Saccharomyces cerevisiae S288C: one gene and its partners. The protein of the gene in region 2 interacts with the protein of the main gene of each other region in a biochemical or structural test. Each region holds a gene or a part of one and is shown on either strand. Other genes may lie near its edges.

Region 1 (2,946 bases), on a different chromosome or scaffold from region 2:
CTGTTTTCCAGGAGATGATCCAGTTGATATGGTTGTTGCAATGTCTAATGGTCAAGACTCCCGCATAAGATTTGCAGGCGAACATACTATCATGGACGGCGCCGGCTGTGCCTATGGTGCTTGGGAAAGCGGAAGACGGGAGGCGACTCGAATCTCTGACTTACTGAAATAGAATCTATTTTTTCGAAATTACTTACACTTTTGACGGCTAGAAAAGGATATACATACATATTAAAATTTTTAGTAACACTCTGTGCTTTTTCAAAAATTTGAGGTACACCTAATTCTCCCACTTGTTGCTTATACCAAGTTTGAACAATTTTAATGTTAAGCACAATAGATTGGAATATTATCATATGGTGGTTCAGAGAGTAGTAGGGTGCATTTTCATTCCTGTTGCCTCAATGTGTTTTCTATCTGTATTTACGTGATTTTATGAAGTGGTGGCATCGCTTAGATGTGGTGCATAATTAGAGACTAATTTTTGAAACCACGCATGAATGTCAAGTAATTCTAACTGAGCATCTGTCATCAATGGCACTTGCAACTTCAAAAAATCCCACCAATATTTTGACGGCACCAATTTACCTTTGAATTTTATTTGAGTTTTCCTTGTTAATCTTGCATTCAGAATTCCATAGAAAAAGAATTTTTCAAATGGAATTATATTTGTAGAGTGAGAAAAACATCCATCACAAGTGCAGTTATCCGGAGGACATATGCATTCCTTGTCAGTGCATTTACAATCATCCAAATAATCCATCATCTTATCAGTAATTTGAGCTTCACCAATATTGGTTAAAGGAACACCACTTTGTTGAATATAAGAATTCAGTTCCTCTTCGCTTCTATGGATTAGACAATTAACACATGGGCAGCTTTCATCTTCACAAGAGCACTGCGTGCTTAAAAAAATGCCCTTATGAGTCAGGACTTCAACTTTCGAAGCAACGTCGCTTGAATGAGGAGCAGCAATCGTTGTTGTACTTTGTGGGGTGAGTGTTTCTGAACTGTCATGCGCACCAGGAACAGAACTATTGTAGTTTTCTTGTAAAATATCGTTAAAAGCGGACGTAGATTCCAAGGAGCCGTATGGCGTAAATATGTCATCAGACGGTGCCTTGTTCGTCTTGCCATTAGAAGCTGGGTTCTGTGATTTATCTTTCTTACAGCAGTTTGAAAAATGTCGTATAGGCTCCTGTTGAAGCCGGCTTCGCTCTTTCTTCTCACTTGAAGAAGATGACTTGGTAGAGTCCGGAGATATTGTTCCTGTTGCCGGAGCTTTGGGAGAGTGTTTCCTAAGAAACTCCGTTTCGGTGATATATTTGTTACCATCATCGGTAAATGTGCTAATATCTTTAGGCTCATGAGCAGTGAAACCTTCCTCCATTAATATATGCAATTTTCCGTTTATCATTCTTGCCTTTCTAACAGCAGAGGCACGTACAAACAGTATTGGCTGTTGATTCATTGCGCTGCAGCAGTCACCTTCAATTTGTGCACCATTTTCGTATTCTGTACTTTGCGATGTAGAGTCTACTAAAATAGCGTCTCTGATAGCCATGGGTGAAGGTCTTCCTCTAGTTCTCACCTTAATTAGCATTCGGTGAGAATGCCTGCATGTTGAAGAGCGATGCCCTCTGATGCACGATGCACACGCATATTTGTTCCCATTAAATATTATCATCTCTGATAGAGCTTGAAGAACTTACCAGACTGTTTCAAGTTTAAAACAAGGCGCCTCATCGCATCTACCTCACGAAGATGCAGCAGCTTATTGTCTCGAGATCCTTCTTATAACTCCTTTTCGCCATTACCCGAAAACGAGATTACAGCCTCTAAACCAAGAGCTCGAAAAGCGCCAAAGTAAACTCTGGCGTTTAGCGTACGAAGGAGATTATCCTAAAAGGAACTTCCCTAGTAATAGTGTAATTTGGAAGGGCATAGCATGTCGAAAACCGCTCAGAAACGTCTCCTCAAGGAGCTTCAACAGTTAATTAAAGATTCTCCACCTGGTATAGTGGCTGGTCCCAAATCGGAGAATAACATATTCATTTGGGACTGCCTAATTCAAGGGCCTCCAGATACGCCATACGCTGATGGTGTTTTTAATGCTAAGCTAGAGTTTCCTAAAGACTATCCGTTATCTCCACCTAAACTTACTTTCACACCCAGCATACTACATCCAAATATTTATCCAAATGGGGAAGTGTGCATATCCATTCTACACTCCCCTGGTGATGATCCTAACATGTACGAATTAGCGGAAGAAAGATGGTCGCCAGTGCAAAGTGTAGAAAAAATTCTATTAAGTGTTATGAGCATGTTGAGTGAGCCCAATATCGAAAGTGGTGCCAACATTGATGCTTGCATCTTGTGGAGAGATAATAGACCTGAATTTGAGAGACAGGTAAAGTTATCCATTTTGAAATCATTAGGATTCTGAAAGCAGGTAGCAGGTTAATGATCATTTGGTCTTCCTTTTAACTGTTCTCTATATACATAAATAAGCATATCTACCATCTAAAAGAAAGCAAATGTCACATAATAAATATGTTAAAATCTCAATGTCTTCCTGGCTTTTCAGGAATTCAAACCATTTCCATTTCGTTGGTGTATAATCAGGGGCCCCTCTACTCTCACCTCTCTGTACCGAAGCGTTAATCAATTTTCTTTTATTTATATACACGATGATTGTAACTAGGTTATTTTCCTATACAAAATTTGCTGAACACTGAATCTAAGATTTCCTCAATACCAATAGCTTGTCCTGTTATCTTAGCTATTCCATCGGATGCATACCTCAAATTTTCTGTGGCCAATACTATATCATTATGGAAATCTTTGGATTTGAAAAACTCTTCCAAGCCGTACAGTACGTCGTTTTTGAGAATCTCTGACACTCTTTTGGAAACAATGACAGGACTTGCATCGGCACTTGATTGA
Region 2 (3,812 bases):
CTGTATTCTCTGAAGTGTTTGCCGCTGTTGTGTCTTGCCTTGCAACAGCGTATGTTTACCGTTTTATATATTGCGTGGCGCGCACCCGGTGATAAGAAACATCCATGTGATAAAACTCCGCACGTTGCTTGATTAATTAACCTCGGAGGTGTTACCCGCAATCAATATGTCTGCCAGCCGCCCGCCCGCCCCGGAGAAAAGAGCTTAGGACAAGAATCACTGTCTCTTACCTTGGAATCAGGGCAGGTCCGCACAAGCGGTAGTAAGCACATACCTAAAATAGCAGTATTCTTCTTTCTTTAGAGAACGTTAGACTCAATTGAAAAGGTTTACTGAATGCATCCATGCTAGATTAGCACACAGTAACTTTACGCCCGTAACTTACTACTCGTAGAACTGGCCGCTGGTGTTCCGTAACCCGCCGCGCTCGCTCCGTGCACGAAAACAACAAAACAAAAAAAACAACAAATAAAGCATACAGCTCTATTTAACAGCTGAACTATTATCCAGTGTAATAGAGTCACAACCCCCAACTAAAAAACACTGCGGACTCTATTATACTTCAGTCGGAAAAAATATCGTTAAATTCAATTTCGCACTATAGCCGCACGTAAAAATAACTTAACATAATGTCAGGAAAAGCTCATGGAGGTAAAGGTAAATCCGGCGCTAAAGACAGTGGTTCATTGAGATCTCAATCTTCTTCAGCAAGGGCTGGCTTGCAGTTTCCTGTCGGTAGGATTAAGCGTTACCTGAAAAGGCACGCTACCGGCCGAACAAGAGTAGGATCCAAAGCTGCCATTTATTTGACTGCTGTGTTGGAATATTTGACTGCTGAAGTGCTGGAGTTGGCTGGTAATGCAGCCAAGGATCTTAAAGTCAAGAGGATTACCCCAAGACATCTGCAATTGGCCATTAGAGGTGACGATGAGTTAGATTCTTTGATCAGGGCTACAATTGCTTCAGGTGGTGTTTTGCCTCATATAAATAAAGCATTATTATTGAAAGTGGAAAAAAAGGGAAGTAAGAAATAAGAAGAATAGTTTTTCTTTCCCATTTCCCGTAATTCTCCCTGCTCCTGTATCCTCATTCTATCCATATTAACGTCTGTATCATTATTATAAGTTGAAATTTGTCTCTCCGTACCCGAGTTATATACATACATATATGTAATCTATCTCTCCTTTCACGTCTAATCTCTTATGTTTTTACTATAATATATAGCATGAAAATATACTCTCACACAATATTCCCAACGATAGCGCAGTAGCCGTTATGTACGCAGAAATTTGGTCAGGGCTTTCTTTTTGTTGAACTTTGCATACCCGGAAAAATGGAAATTAAGGACACCTACAAAAGTACACTGTAGAAATCAAATCAAAGAAAAGGTTTAATAGACGATAAATTTCCATACGTGCCGACAGGACAAAAAAAAAACCCCCCTACCATTTCTAATAACAGCTTCACCACTAGTTATACTGTCGACTTTCTACCGATTTGTTGGTTCCTTTTTATAACCAGAAAATCATCTATCAATTGCAATTTGTAAGAGAAGGGGAGAAAGACAAAATAATAATATGGTGCCAGAAAATAGAAGGAAACAGTTGGCAATTTTTGTAGTTGTCACATATTTGCTCACATTTTATTGCGTGTATTCAGCCACCAAGACAAGCGTTTCCTTTTTGCAAGTAACACTGAAGCTAAATGAAGGCTTCAATCTAATGGTTTTGTCGATATTCATCTTATTAAATTCTACCTTACTATGGCAACTCCTAACGAAACTATTATTTGGTGAACTGAGGCTTATTGAGCATGAGCACATTTTTGAAAGGTTACCATTTACCATTATAAACACCTTGTTTATGTCCTCACTGTTCCACGAACGGTATTTTTTCACAGTGGCATTTTTTGGACTATTACTACTCTATCTGAAAGTTTTCCATTGGATTTTAAAGGATAGGCTGGAGGCCTTATTACAGTCAATAAATGATTCCACCACAATGAAAACCCTTATCTTTAGTAGATTCTCATTTAACCTCGTACTATTGGCGGTTGTAGACTACCAGATAATAACACGATGCATCTCCTCCATATATACAAACCAAAAGAGTGATATTGAATCCACATCCCTTTACCTGATACAAGTAATGGAGTTTACCATGCTTTTGATTGATTTGCTAAATTTATTCCTACAGACTTGTTTGAATTTCTGGGAATTTTATCGCTCACAACAAAGTCTGTCTAATGAGAACAACCATATTGTCCATGGCGATCCTACAGATGAAAACACGGTTGAGTCTGATCAATCTCAGCCAGTGCTGAATGACGACGACGATGACGACGATGATGATAGACAATTTACCGGCCTGGAGGGTAAATTCATGTATGAAAAAGCAATTGACGTATTCACAAGATTCTTAAAAACGGCACTTCATTTGTCTATGCTAATACCATTTAGGATGCCTATGATGCTTTTGAAAGATGTGGTGTGGGATATCTTGGCACTATATCAAAGTGGCACAAGTTTGTGGAAAATCTGGAGAAATAACAAACAGCTCGACGACACTCTTGTCACTGTCACCGTAGAACAGCTACAAAATTCTGCAAATGATGACAATATTTGTATCATTTGTATGGATGAGTTAATACATTCTCCAAACCAGCAGACGTGGAAGAATAAAAACAAGAAACCCAAAAGGTTACCTTGTGGCCACATACTTCATTTGTCGTGTTTAAAGAATTGGATGGAACGTTCTCAGACTTGTCCTATTTGTAGATTGCCTGTCTTTGATGAAAAAGGTAATGTTGTGCAAACGACTTTCACTTCCAATAGTGATATCACGACACAGACCACCGTAACAGATAGCACTGGGATAGCGACAGATCAACAAGGTTTCGCAAACGAAGTAGATCTACTTCCCACAAGAACAACTTCCCCTGATATAAGGATAGTGCCTACTCAAAATATAGACACATTAGCAATGAGAACAAGGTCAACCTCTACACCATCTCCTACGTGGTATACGTTCCCATTACATAAAACTGGTGATAATTCTGTTGGGTCAAGCCGATCAGCCTACGAATTTTTGATCACAAATTCAGATGAGAAAGAAAATGGTATTCCTGTCAAATTAACAATAGAAAATCACGAAGTAAATTCTCTGCATGGAGACGGGGGCGAGCAAATTGCCAAGAAAATTGTCATACCAGATAAATTTATCCAGCATATCTAGATTGCATGTTTTATATTATACATAGTTTTTTTTAAAGAAAAAAACTACTGGATGAAAAACACACACACACACACATATATATATATTATACATCAGCGGAAATTACTCGATATCTAGAAATGCGTACACATGCTACATCGATCAGCTACGTCTGACCGAATACTTTTCAATAGTAAAAAAGGGGGCGAGCTGGGAATTGAACCCAGGGCCTCTCGCATGCTTTGTCCCCCTGTTAATCAGGAAGTCGCCCAAAGCGAGAATCATACCACTAGACCACACGCCCGATCTTTTCTGAGAACCATGAAAAGACTCAGAATTTATAATACACATCATGGCCTTCCAAAGCAACTCAGCCTATGTTGAAATGTAATTCTAGTACCATCCACTTATTATTGGTATTCATGTTACTAGTATATTATCACATACGGCATAGGAAGGTGACATAATGATTAAGGAACAGCTATCACATATAAAGGAAGCAGAAATCCTAAGGTTGATAATGCAATAGGATAATAAATGATAACATATAAAATGGAAGAAGAAGTAAACATTATCATAATATGTAGATATATCGACTCT
Region 3 (4,951 bases), on a different chromosome or scaffold from region 2:
GTAACAGAATACGAACTTTGCCCGAACTACACGAATCCAATAACATTAGCGACAAGTTTTCTCCGCGAACATACAACATAGACTCCAAACACGATAACAAGGAAAATAGGCCAATACCGACAATTAAGCCTTTTAATTTTAGTAAAGCGCGCCCTGTGATCTTGAAAACTGGGTTAAACAAACAGATAATAAAAGAAGATACAAAAGTAAAGAAATCGAATTGGTCAAATTACTTCAAATCGTGATTTTAAATGTCGAAATTATGCCTGGCCTGCGTTTCTTCATGGCACTTTCGGAAAAGGCGGAAGAACACAGGTAAATGTTCTTACGACCGAGGTCCTACAGCCTCCCTTTTTTCTTATTTTACATATTAATATACATAAATATACCATAATGCATTCTTTTTCTAATGATTTAGCTCTCCTTTTTTTGACAAATTTGAAAATAAATATAAAAAGGGCCATAAAATATTGAGTTAAAATTGACGATTTTTTTTATAGAAATGACTTGAATTTACGATTTAAAATAAAAATATACCTGGCATATAACTAACTATACAAATCATCATCTTCCTCCGCATTAGAACCAAATGCAGCACCTGCTCCACTTGGAGCACTATTATTACTGTTAGCATTGTCCGTAGCCGTAGTACCTAATGGAGCGTCATTAAAGTTGAAATTACTGAATTGACCTCTAGATGCTTTCATTTGCTGTGAGTATGCTTCATAACGACGCAATTCAGCATCTGAAACAGAACGTTTAGCGGTCTTCATAGCTTCTGCGAAATGCTCCTTTGTAATATATGGAACAGGATCTACTTCTGGTTCTTGTTCAGCCTTTGCTCCCTCATCTGTCATTTCCACGTCTTCACCTTCTACTTTCACTTCCTTTTCAGCTTCGTGTTGTCTGTGAGCTTCGATAGAATCCTTGATAGCGTATTTAGCAGCCCTCTGCACAATATAGAGTAAATCAGCACCAGAGAAACCTTGAGTGGCCTTGGCAATCGCAGTTAACTCTAGCCCTGGTTCTAGTGGTGTTTTCCTTAATTGAGCATTTAGAATAGATAATCTAGCGTTTTCATCTGGCAATGGAACATAAATTAATTGATCCAATCTGCCAGGTCTTAAAATAGCAGGATCAATTTGATCTGGCCTATTGGTGGCACCAATCACGAACACATTTTTCTTAGCATTCATACCATCCATTTCTGTTAATAGTTGGTTGACGACTCTATCCGAAGCACCACCAGCATCACCCAAGGAACCACCTCTTGCCTTGGCAATGGAGTCTAATTCATCTAGAAAAACGACGGTTGGTGCAGCTGCTCTTGCCTTATCAAAAATATCACGGATGTTAGATTCCGATTCACCATACCACATACTCAATAATTCTGGACCTTTGACTGAGATAAAGTTGGCAGAAACCTCAGTAGCTACAGCTTTTGCTAACAAAGTTTTACCTGTACCTGGTGGACCGTAGAACAACACACCCTTTGATGGTGATAACCCAAACTTTGTGTATTGGTCTGGATGTAAGACTGGGTATTCTACAGTTTCCTTCAATTCCTCCTTGATTTCATCTAGGCCACCAACGTCATCCCAAGTAACATTGACACTTTCAACAACGGTTTCACGCAATGCAGATGGGTTTGAATTGCCCAATGCGAATCTGAAGTTGTCCATGGTGACTCCTAAAGAATCGAGCACCTCTGCATCAATTTCATCTTCATCTAAATCTATCAAGTCCATTTTTTCACGGATCTGTTGCATGGCAGCTTCAGAACACAAAGAGGCAATATCAGCACCCACGTAACCGTGTGTTTCAGCAGCCAATGCTTCCAAATCAACATCATCAGCCAACTTCATGTTCTTGGTGTGAATACGTAGAACTTCAAGTCTACCTGTAGCATCTGGGATACCAATGTCGACTTCACGATCGAATCTACCAAATCTTCTTAAAGCGGGATCAATCGAATTTGGTCTATTGGTAGCAGCAATGACAACAACATTAGATCTTGCCTTCATACCATCCATTAAAGTTAACAATTGAGAGACAACTCTTCTCTCAACTTCACCATTAGTCTTGTCTCTCTTTGGAGCTATAGAATCGATTTCATCGATAAAAATGATGGCTGGAGCGTTCTTTTCGGCTTCTTCAAAGGCCTTTCTTAAGTTAGACTCTGATTCACCAGCCATTTTTGACATGACTTCTGGACCATTAATTAAGAAAAAAAAGGCACCGGTCTCATTAGCAACAGCTCTTGCCATCAAGGTTTTACCAGTACCAGGGGGACCATACATCAAAACACCTCTTGGTGGCTTGATACCGATAGCCTTGAACAACTGAGGATGTCTCAATGGTAGTTCAACCATTTCCCTAATTTGAGCCATTTGCTTACGACAACCACCAATATCATCGTAACCCACCTCATTCATATTATTTTCTTCATCTTCCCTGTTGATTGGCTCACCTTCCCAGTGAATAATAGTATCCTGAGCAACGACGGCATATTCTTCAGGTTCGACATCCACAACCTTGAATTCGACTTGTCTCATACCGCCTCTGACAACAAAATGGTCGCCTTTCCTCACTGGTCTGTAGGCTTCCACAAAATAAGGCTTCAAAAAAACATCGAAAAGATTACCAGTTATACCTTCGATCGTATCAGCAATTGGTAACACAGAAATTCTAGTAGCGTATTTGATATCGGGGCAAGGATGAATTGTAACTAAATCACCCAGCCTAATACGTAAATTGTTACGAACTACACGGTTTATCCTGCATGCTCCGTCTTCTAATTCGTCATCGATCAACACAATTAAGACAGTATCTTTTCTCTTCTTGCCCTTAACGAGAACGGTGTCACCACGGAACAATTCCAATTTGTCCATGGTGTTAGAATTAATAGCAATGACAGAATTGTCATCATTGATAGCATCGTCCACCAAAAGCATGTTGTCCTTCTTCTTTCTTCTTAAAATGGCGGTGGCGGTTTTATCCTCCTCACGAGGGTCGACACCCGAGGCGTCCAAAAGTGGTTTATGTTCTTCACCCATGATTTGTATATCTGTCTTGTAGTTGAGCCAGTTATCGAGTCAATGGCGTTGAGTCAAATCTTAATAGAACTAGATTAATTGACTACATCAACTGCGGATCTCTTAAATACACGGCCCTGATATATGTCCTTTTTTGCCACCGAATTCACATTCGAGGGGTTGCCGGGTAGTGCGCAAAAGGCGGTAGGTTAAAAAGGAAGGAGTTAGAGCTGTTCATAAGGTATCGATAGCAACGATGGCTAGTAACATGATTGTTAGCATTATAGAGTGGATATGAATGGAAGCAAACACACCCATATGTATAAACTTAAATATGAAAAGAAAACGCTAAAAGAAATCATAGCATGCATTACTCTAATCGGAGCCTTCTAGTTTGGCAAGCAATTCCTTGTGTAGCTTGCCCAACTTATCGAAGTCCGTTTCTTGGGCTGGCCACCCTACAATCAAACCACTTTTCTCATCTCTCTTAGGAATCAAATGGAAGTGGACGTGGTCGACTTCTTGATGCGCAATTTTACCATTATTCTGCAACACATTATAAGTGTCCAACTTCATTGCCTTGGCCAGTCTCTTGGCAATCGGCATAGCATCGGTAAGGAATTCGTCCGGGATGTCATGCAACTTCGCACCATGGTACTTAGGAATGATTAAAGCATGACCTTCAGCAGTAGGTTGGATGTCCAAGAAAGCATACGAGTACTTTGTTTCAATCAATTTGAAGGATGGAATTTCGCCTGTTGCATAGCGGATCGATTGTTAGTATTCTGCTTTATGTATATGTACTACATAGAGACTATCGCCATCATTGGTGTGAGTGTAAGCTCTTTATTAGTAATGTGACATACTTTTAATAATCTTGCAAAAAATACAGGCAGCATCAAGCGTAGCAGGAGCAGACATTTTTGTTGTTGTTAGGTACGGTGCCGATATCAATGGCTCCATCAATGTTTCTTAAAAGTCTGGAAGGCGTGCTGATTGTCCTTTTACTTCATAATGTTCTCCGCTTTCCAGTCGAACACACATCACATTACACGATCGTACAGCAATGCTTCAGTAGGGCGGTAACTTCTTCAGAAGAGAACGGACCCGCCATTATTTCTGCAAGGAATATTCTGTAACGATTCGCACCATATCTTAAAGCTTCTCAAGCTTACTGTTTTATGTGACCTCCTTTTGTACTTTTCAAGTTCTGTAGACAAGTGTCAATTCAACCTTTGAGGCTACGTGGCCAACAAGGTCTTGCGCGATTTACCGGTGTTTCCTTTGCGCCCCCTGCTCATGCCATCAAAACGGCACGCTGTTTTGTAGAAGCCTCCATGCGTCTCCTATTTGGGTCCTTGCAAAATAGTCTAACGAAAGCGCGGAGAATTAACCGGAAAAAGGAAGTTGCCACACTCCCCTTACTAATCCACACCTAGGATCTCCTTTACTCGTATTTTGAATATCTACGAAAACACTCACATACGCTCATCCCATATATATATATATATATATACGGATATATTGATAGTCGGATACTACGTGGATATGGATACACATGTAAACGGTTGTGTTACCCTAAAGAAACGGAGGTCAGTTAACAACACTTTTACAGATGTCATTTCACCAACAGTTCTTTACCTTGAATAATGGAAATAAAATCCCCGCAATCGCCATCATTGGGACAGGTACTAGATGGTATAAAAACGAAGAAACGGATGCTACCTTTTCGAACAGTTTGGTCGAACAGATTGTTTATGCTCTGAAGTTACCTGGCATTATTCACATTGATGCTGCTGAGATCTACAGAACATATCCAGAAGTTGGGAAGGCACTTAGCCTCACCGAAAAACCAAGAAATGCAATATTCTTGACAGACAAGTACTCACCTCAAATCAAGATGTCAGATTCCCCAG
Region 4 (6,982 bases), 320 kb from region 2:
GAGGAATGTTCTTTCTGCACGTTCGTTGTACTTCCAGTCGTGATCACAGTGGTATCATGTAGACCAATCTTCGCATTTTGAGCAGTTTTGTTCCTATCTAATGCAAAAGATCCGATTATACTTACCCACAAAATAAGGCCGTATATGAGAAGACGGTTCGCCATTCGGACAGATAATGATATAATATATCTTATATTTTAACTATATCCATTGCGTCCTTTCTTTTTAACCGTAAGGCACAGTTAAGAAATAATGTTTTCACACTAAATGCTGATGCCTATAAAAAAAAAGTACCGATGAGATAACCTAGGAATAAAATTCTCGGAATTCTTTCGGACATTGAACTTTGATTTATCAGAGCTGGTAAATTCAAGAAAATTGAAATGTAGAAAGCTCGCTGAATTAAGAAAAAAAAAATAAAAACTTATTATTACGCACCTATATGTAGTGATTATGTATGTTTATTAAAAAAGTCCATCTTGGTAAGTTTCTTTTCTTAACCAAATTCAAAATTCTATTATTTCTTGGAGAGTTTACCGTTCTTTTTAGGCACTCTTGCTAACCAGTAGAAAAAGACACCAGCGATATAATTGAATGCAATATAACAGATGAAGATACCATAATTTCTCCATCTCTCACTGTAGAAAGAATTGACATTAGCTAAGTAATCATTGGTTGTAGATATTTGACAGAAACTACAGGTGTCAGTGGCATTTTCATCAGTTAAGTAACCAGTCTTTGCTAGTTGTAAATATGGTTCCATGTACTGCCCACATGTCATACCGGATGGTGGTGTGAATTCTAGCAATTCGTAATCAGCGCATTTGACGTCTACGTTAGCAACACCAACAGCCAACAGAGCCTGAATGAAATAAGTCAAAGGTGAAACCCTGTACATGAATATCCAAAATCTAGGCATGGCACTTGGGGTAGTCATAACACCACAAAAAGACAAAGACATTGTAAACAACAAAGAGGCTAAGTTAGCTGCACTTTCTGCAACTTGGTTGAATGAAATGACAAGCAGACCCATAGAACCAACATAAACGTAGAAAGCACAAGAGAACAACCAAAATAAAGCACCCCTTTCATGCAACTGGCCAGCTGCAGACGCGTTGGAGTAAAATCCAATTGGATAATAGTAGATAAAATAAGCAATAGTACCTGCCAATATATTCCATGGAACTTCCACGAATATTTGAGCGAAGATAAATGAAATCCAAGAAAAAGTCCTTGAGGGGCGTTCCCTGGCCTCATACAAATCTCTTTGCTGGACAAAAGATGGTAGGTATTGTTGTAGAATAGGATTGAAAATAACCGTAAACATGAACACAGCCAACATTTGATTTTGTAAACCCTGTAGCGAGGTTCCTGCTTTGAAGAAAGTGAAACCGATGAACAATTGATTGAAAATAGTTAAAATAAACTTCGACCATAAATAATCTGGAGATCTCCAATATTGCTGGAATAGACGAATACTGACCAATTTTGTTTGATAAATAATTGATTGTGAAAATTCGTGTTTGTCCTCAGCTGCAGTTATCGAACCTTTCTTTGGTAATTCTCTTTCCATCCAATCTAATTCAGATTGAACGGCCCTGTACTCTTCAGAATTCCTCCAAACTTCGTAATAATCTTGATTTGCATGAGAGCCTGGAGCTGCACCAACAACTTCTAGCATCCATTCAGCTGGGTTGGCGTCAGCAGGGCATTTATGAGCACCATGGCTTTCAAAATAATCGATCATAGTTTTACAACCTTCGCCCAAGTCGCCAAAGTAGACAGTCTTACCACCACGTTGCATAAATAGTAAACGATCGAATTCTTGCATCAAAATAGCAGAGGGTTGGTGAATAGTACATAGAATTGCTTGACCATGATTTGCCAACTTTTTCATTAGCTGACAAATAGACCAAGCAGTTTGAGAATCCAAACCAGAAGTAGGTTCATCTAAAAAGACCAACAGTTTTGGTTTGGCAGTTAATTCAACACCAATGGTTAATCTTTTTCTTTGTTCAACGTTTAAACCTTCACCAGCAACACCAACAACAGCATCAGCATATTTTTCCATTTCAAGAATTTTAATAACTTCTTCAACATATCTGTTCTTTTCTTCAATGGAAACTTCAGCTGGTTGACGTAGGTAAGCAGAAAATCTCAATGACTCCCTCACAGTGGCAGTTTTCAAATGCAAATCTTGTTGCTGACAATAACCAATGGATCTTGGGAAAGATTTATCACGGGGAATACCATTGACCAAGATATCACCAGTTATAACACCCATGGTAACCCTTTCGGCCAAACAATCCAGAAGTGTGGTTTTACCAGCACCTGAAGCACCCATTAAAGCTGTTAAAGTACCTGGTTTAACCCAACCATCAACATTGTTCAAAATACGTCTTGTTTCGGCCTTAATCTGAACTTCGTAACAAAGGTTTCTCCAGTGAAATATAGCCTCTGACTTGGATAAACCAATTTCTCCGTAAGTATCGGATTCCTCTTCAGAGCTTTCTTGTAGCATTTTCCTATCGCTGGATAAGTCACTACGTTCCCCAACGTTTTCGGGGTCATTTGCATTCTTTTCAGTTAGTACACCTCTTTTCTTCATTCTTTTAACTATACTGCGTGGGAAAACTAATATTTCACCTTTTTGTTTAGCACCCTCGTTGTATTCACATAAGAATAGATAGACAAAGAAAAAGAAGACGACATAAGCCATACCAATACCGAAACCACGCCATTTGTCTTTGTGGTAGTATTGATAAGTTCCTCTAATGAAATCATCACCCAGAACATAGTCTTGGCCTGGAACAGCTCCAACCACGGTACAAACAGATTCTGTACTAGAAATGTTTGCATACGCAGGACCACGAGGAACATATTCAGCGCAGGGGAATTTTATACCATGAAACTCGTTAATTAACAAAGATTCGAATAAGTAAGCCAACGGATTGATATACCAAATCCATTTAGACCAACGTAGGATCTTCTTCTTAGGAATAGCAAAACCGGTATACATGGATAGAGCCAACAATAACATAGAAGCGGGAACCATAGCTTCTGACAATGTCTTTGTTAAGGAACCAACACATCTAAACAAGTGAGACATGGAGAAAACCGCGACAATGTTTATTAATAAGTAGAAAAAGAATACACCACCATTTCTTCTAAAGTCTACTAAGAAATAGAAGATTATATTGAAGCAAACAGCGATGATTAACTTTGAGGGTATTTCTGATAGAACTGATGCAAAAGCGTCAGCACTTGGATGGTATAACGAATATGTTCTATGTTTTTCAGTGATTGGTCTGGCCTCATATAACGAAAAGATTTCTAACAGAGAAGAAAATGCATTGAATAGAATTGCAAAAAACATAGCAGAACCACGGAAATAGAATGTAGAAGTATCACCCTTTTTCATGATCTTGAAAAACATTGAACCCAAGATTAAAGCCATACTACAGTTACCCAAAATCATAAATAATGTAAACCCGATATTATTTCGCAGTCTCCACATATTTCTGATTAATAGGTATTTAACTTGCATCATGTAGCTGACAGTATAAGGAGAGGAAGGTCTTGCTCTCTTGGACTGCTTAGCAATGTGGGCTTCCTTAATAGCTTCACGGCTTGCTTCATCGTCATTCAATAATCGTTGGTCGACTTCTTTCATTAGCTCTTTGTAATTTGGAGATTTTACCCAGTAATCGTTCATTTCCTTCGGGGTCTGTGGTATATGAATACCTTTTTTTAGCATATCTTTGTTCAGGGTTCTCTCAGAGGGACTTGTAACTGAGGTCAAAAAATCTGCGGTGGTTTGTCTGCTTGGACAAACATACCCCATATCTTCAAAGTACTTCTTGGCCTTATCGGCGGGGCCATAGTAGATCTGATAACCATCATCCAAAACACAGACTTTATTGAACAAGTCGTACGCATCTTGAGAACATTGATAGATGGCCACTGTGGCAGATGTATTGGAAATATCAGCTTGAGTCTTTAAGGCACGAATAAATTCCAAAGCGGTAGCGGAATCCAAACCCCTTGTAGCATTATCCCAGCATTGAAATTTGGATCCACAGATGGAGACTTCAGCAATGGAGACACGCTTCCTTTCACCACCGGAAACACCTCTGACGATGTCGTTACCAACTTTTGTATTCCTTGTATGCGATAAACCGTACGTTGCCATTGCTACTTCCGCCAAATGATTCGCATAACTTTCCCTATCGACACCCTTGATACGGTTCTGTGGGGTTTTCAACCTCGCTACTGTAACCAAAGTTTCGAAGACTGTTAAATGAGGCAGATGTACATCAGCTTCTGCGTTGTAAACAACTTCACCACGAAAATGTTTCTTAATATCATCACCTGAGTAGCCGCTGTAAGAAATTTTAGTATCTGCACCAAGATCAAAACCATGAGTATTTGAAGAGATGGATTTTAATAAAGTAGTACAGCCAGAGCCTGGTCTACCTAAAACGACTAGCAATTCACCTGGGTTTAGGCAACCATCCATTGGTTTCAAGATTTGGAAAGTATTGGTTTCTTTAGAACGTTGAAACTTTCTCAGCCCACTTTTTAGGATTTTGTATGGAATATTAACCACAGTTGACTGATAGGCGACATCTGCGGAAGCACCAGAAGCACTTAAGTTCTTCCAAGCGCAACCTAAGGAATAAGGCTTATAAAAGTCAGGGTCTGCCGCACTTAGGTGAGCCATATTCTTAACCCAGGCGGCACTAGAAAAATTTTCGGAGTTGGGGTCCAATTTTGGGTCATAGCCTGGAGCTTCAGGATCAGAGAATATCGGGTTTACACCTTCCACACCGCTAGAAAATATAGACTGAGCATCACTTTTGTTGGGTGCCGATTGAGTGGAGTTTTGCATACTCTGTGCGGTCAGAGTCCTTGCCAGTTTTTGGATTCGAGCTTCTGTATGCTCATCGAACCCATTATAATTGTGTAGATCAGCAGCGTTTTCAGTAGAAGAAGACGCGGAGGAGTAGCTAGTAACGTCGTTGACGTTATTGTTAAGCTTGGCCTCGGGCATTTTTGTCTAAAGTCTTTCGAACGAGCGGATACGAAAACTTAAAAGGGTCTTTAATTTCTTTTTCGAAAGTTCCTAGTTGCCAATTTATTTATAATTAGAATAACAAAGTCGAGTGATAACTAACACAGTTGTTATATGTTTGCAACTTTGCGTGACTTTTTTCTTTTGGATTTCATTCTAAGGTATGATAATAAAAGCGAACAGCCATAAGGTTATGCACATCACAATTATATATGTATAGGAGAGGCCTTGTTTGTATTGCTCAGATTACGTTCAACAGATATCGTACCACGGCGTAGAAGAGTTCCGCGGAGACATTTCTCTTTTTTTAGCACATTACCATAAGTAGGAATACAGATCTGACCTTTCCACGGAATCACGAGTCCAAAGGGTGCTGAATCGTGATCACGACCCGCGGGTGAGCCCACACTCACCGGAGTCTTAGTAAATCTGAAAATGTTGTGGCACCGCGGCATGAGCGATTCCGCGGAAAGAGAGGGGCAGTCTTAAGTTTCAGTCCACTCGTTCCGTGGGAAGCAATCGACCGAATGGTTCTCCACGGACGTTTTCTCGGCGGCAAGGTTGTGTCGTGATAATCGTTGCATAGATGTGATGGCTTCCTGCAACTTATCCTGTGCTCGAAGGCGCAGAATGCGAACGTTCGCGCTGAGGAACGTTCATGTTCTTTTATTAGTAAGATCATACGTGTGGTGTTGTTTTCCATTGAGTTCCACTCCTGATTGTGTGAAGTGATAAATGTTGTGTACTATGTAAGGGACTGCGCCAACGAGGTGCTGCTTTCTATTATGGCAAATTGTTGCGAGTATGGCTTAATTGTTTATTGTAATAGGTAATTTGATGTTCTTTTTTTTCTTTGATTTGAACTTTTGTTCTCTCTCTCAACTTTTTCTTTTCTTTGTCCTTGTTGATTAGATTGTGACGATAATTTCCTTATAATATCATTGTTGGAATCAAAGAGGAAGACATATTTACGTTAACGAACAAGTTCAGTGAACCATCTAAACATAGAAAGGGGTCCCAGAGAACGCTTCCTTTGTATGATATCTGAAATTTGTCTACTGCATTCAGGCTTATATATATGTGTGTGGTAGCGCCCAACGGAGAACCGTATATGACGGACTTTACTGTGTCACATTTCAGAAAAACAATAAGTGTTTTTCCCTTCCGTAAATAGCACATATTCATTCCTATATCGCCTCTCTGTTTTATGCTCTTTTTTCCCGGGCATTTATTATTACCCGGTATTTCCAAAGATGCGGTTACTGCCCGCGGGTATTGGGCCTCCCTTAATATGCATCGATTTTACTGTTTAAAATCGTACAAAAGATAATATGTGGAAACAACTTTCCTAAGCAGCGAAATACACGTGCAAGAGCAACGTTATATCATTTCGATTTCATTTAATTTGATCTGGCTCGACATTAGTATTTCAAATCGAGGATAAGATTTTTGTAGTGCTCTTTTTTTCTATCTTTTAGCTAAGGTTCCTAACGTTCTTTCTGCTGTGCTTCACTCCACCATAGAAAACTAATGTTTAATTTAATTTTATGGCCCTTATTTTTGCTTACCTCAGTTGCCATTCCTTTGCAGCTGACATTAGAAGTGGTCTATCTGACGTCTTCCGTTGACTTCTCAAAGGCAAGTGCTGCTAAAACCGCTACTTCTTTGGGTCAGTCCCCAGTTGTCATCACCATTTATAAATCACTGTTAAAATATTGGAGTCTTTACGAGTTCATACATTTTATTTACCTCTATACTCCTATTGATGCCTTTCTGAATTTCTTACCATTTACCTCTTTACTTATGTCGTTTGGAAGTATTTGCTTGACAAGAGAGCTGGTATATGACTTCATTGCCTTTATGGAATCTCAAAACAAGCTTACCGGATTCCTTAATAAGATAACAGAA

Evidence for each region.
Region 1: the proteins of HRD1 (region 2) and UBC7 form a complex in vitro, tested with the Saccharomyces cerevisiae proteins (16 studies listed by BioGRID, with this or other methods).
Region 3: the proteins of HRD1 (region 2) and CDC48 form a complex in vitro, tested with the Saccharomyces cerevisiae proteins (one study listed by BioGRID).
Region 4: of the proteins of HRD1 (region 2) and PDR5, one has a biochemical effect on the other in vitro, tested with the Saccharomyces cerevisiae proteins (one study listed by BioGRID).

Annotation. Positions count from the first base shown.
Region 1 is NC_001145.3:316,732-319,677, forward strand, and holds UBC7 (E2 ubiquitin-conjugating protein UBC7), read left to right. Parts: upstream 1-1,948; coding exon 1,949-2,446; downstream 2,447-2,946. Other genes in the region: FMS1 (polyamine oxidase), read left to right, coding at 1-172; MAC1 (Mac1p), read right to left, coding at 434-1,687; MSS1 (Mss1p), read right to left, coding at 2,706-2,946.
Region 2 is NC_001147.6:300,801-304,612, reverse strand, and holds HRD1 (E3 ubiquitin-protein ligase HRD1), read left to right. Parts: upstream 1-1,577; coding exon 1,578-3,233; downstream 3,234-3,812. Other genes in the region: HTZ1 (histone H2AZ), read left to right, coding at 630-1,034.
Region 3 is NC_001136.10:235,609-240,559, forward strand, and holds CDC48 (AAA family ATPase CDC48), read right to left. Parts: upstream 3,057-4,951; coding exon 549-3,056; downstream 1-548. Other genes in the region: cyclin PCL2, read left to right, coding at 1-245; HNT1 (adenosine 5'-monophosphoramidase), read right to left, coding at 3,411-3,790, 3,902-3,998; YDL124W (aldo-keto reductase superfamily protein), read left to right, coding at 4,651-4,951. UniProt on the Saccharomyces cerevisiae protein: ATP-dependent chaperone which probably uses the energy provided by ATP hydrolysis to generate mechanical force to unfold substrate proteins, disassemble protein complexes, and disaggregate protein aggregates.
Region 4 is NC_001147.6:617,911-624,892, reverse strand, and holds PDR5 (ATP-binding cassette multidrug transporter PDR5), read right to left. Parts: upstream 5,054-6,982; coding exon 518-5,053; downstream 1-517. Other genes in the region: SLP1 (Slp1p), read right to left, coding at 1-164; ATG40 (Atg40p), read left to right, coding at 6,605-6,982. UniProt on the Saccharomyces cerevisiae protein: Active efflux of weakly charged organic compounds of 90 cubic Angstroms to 300 cubic Angstroms surface volume.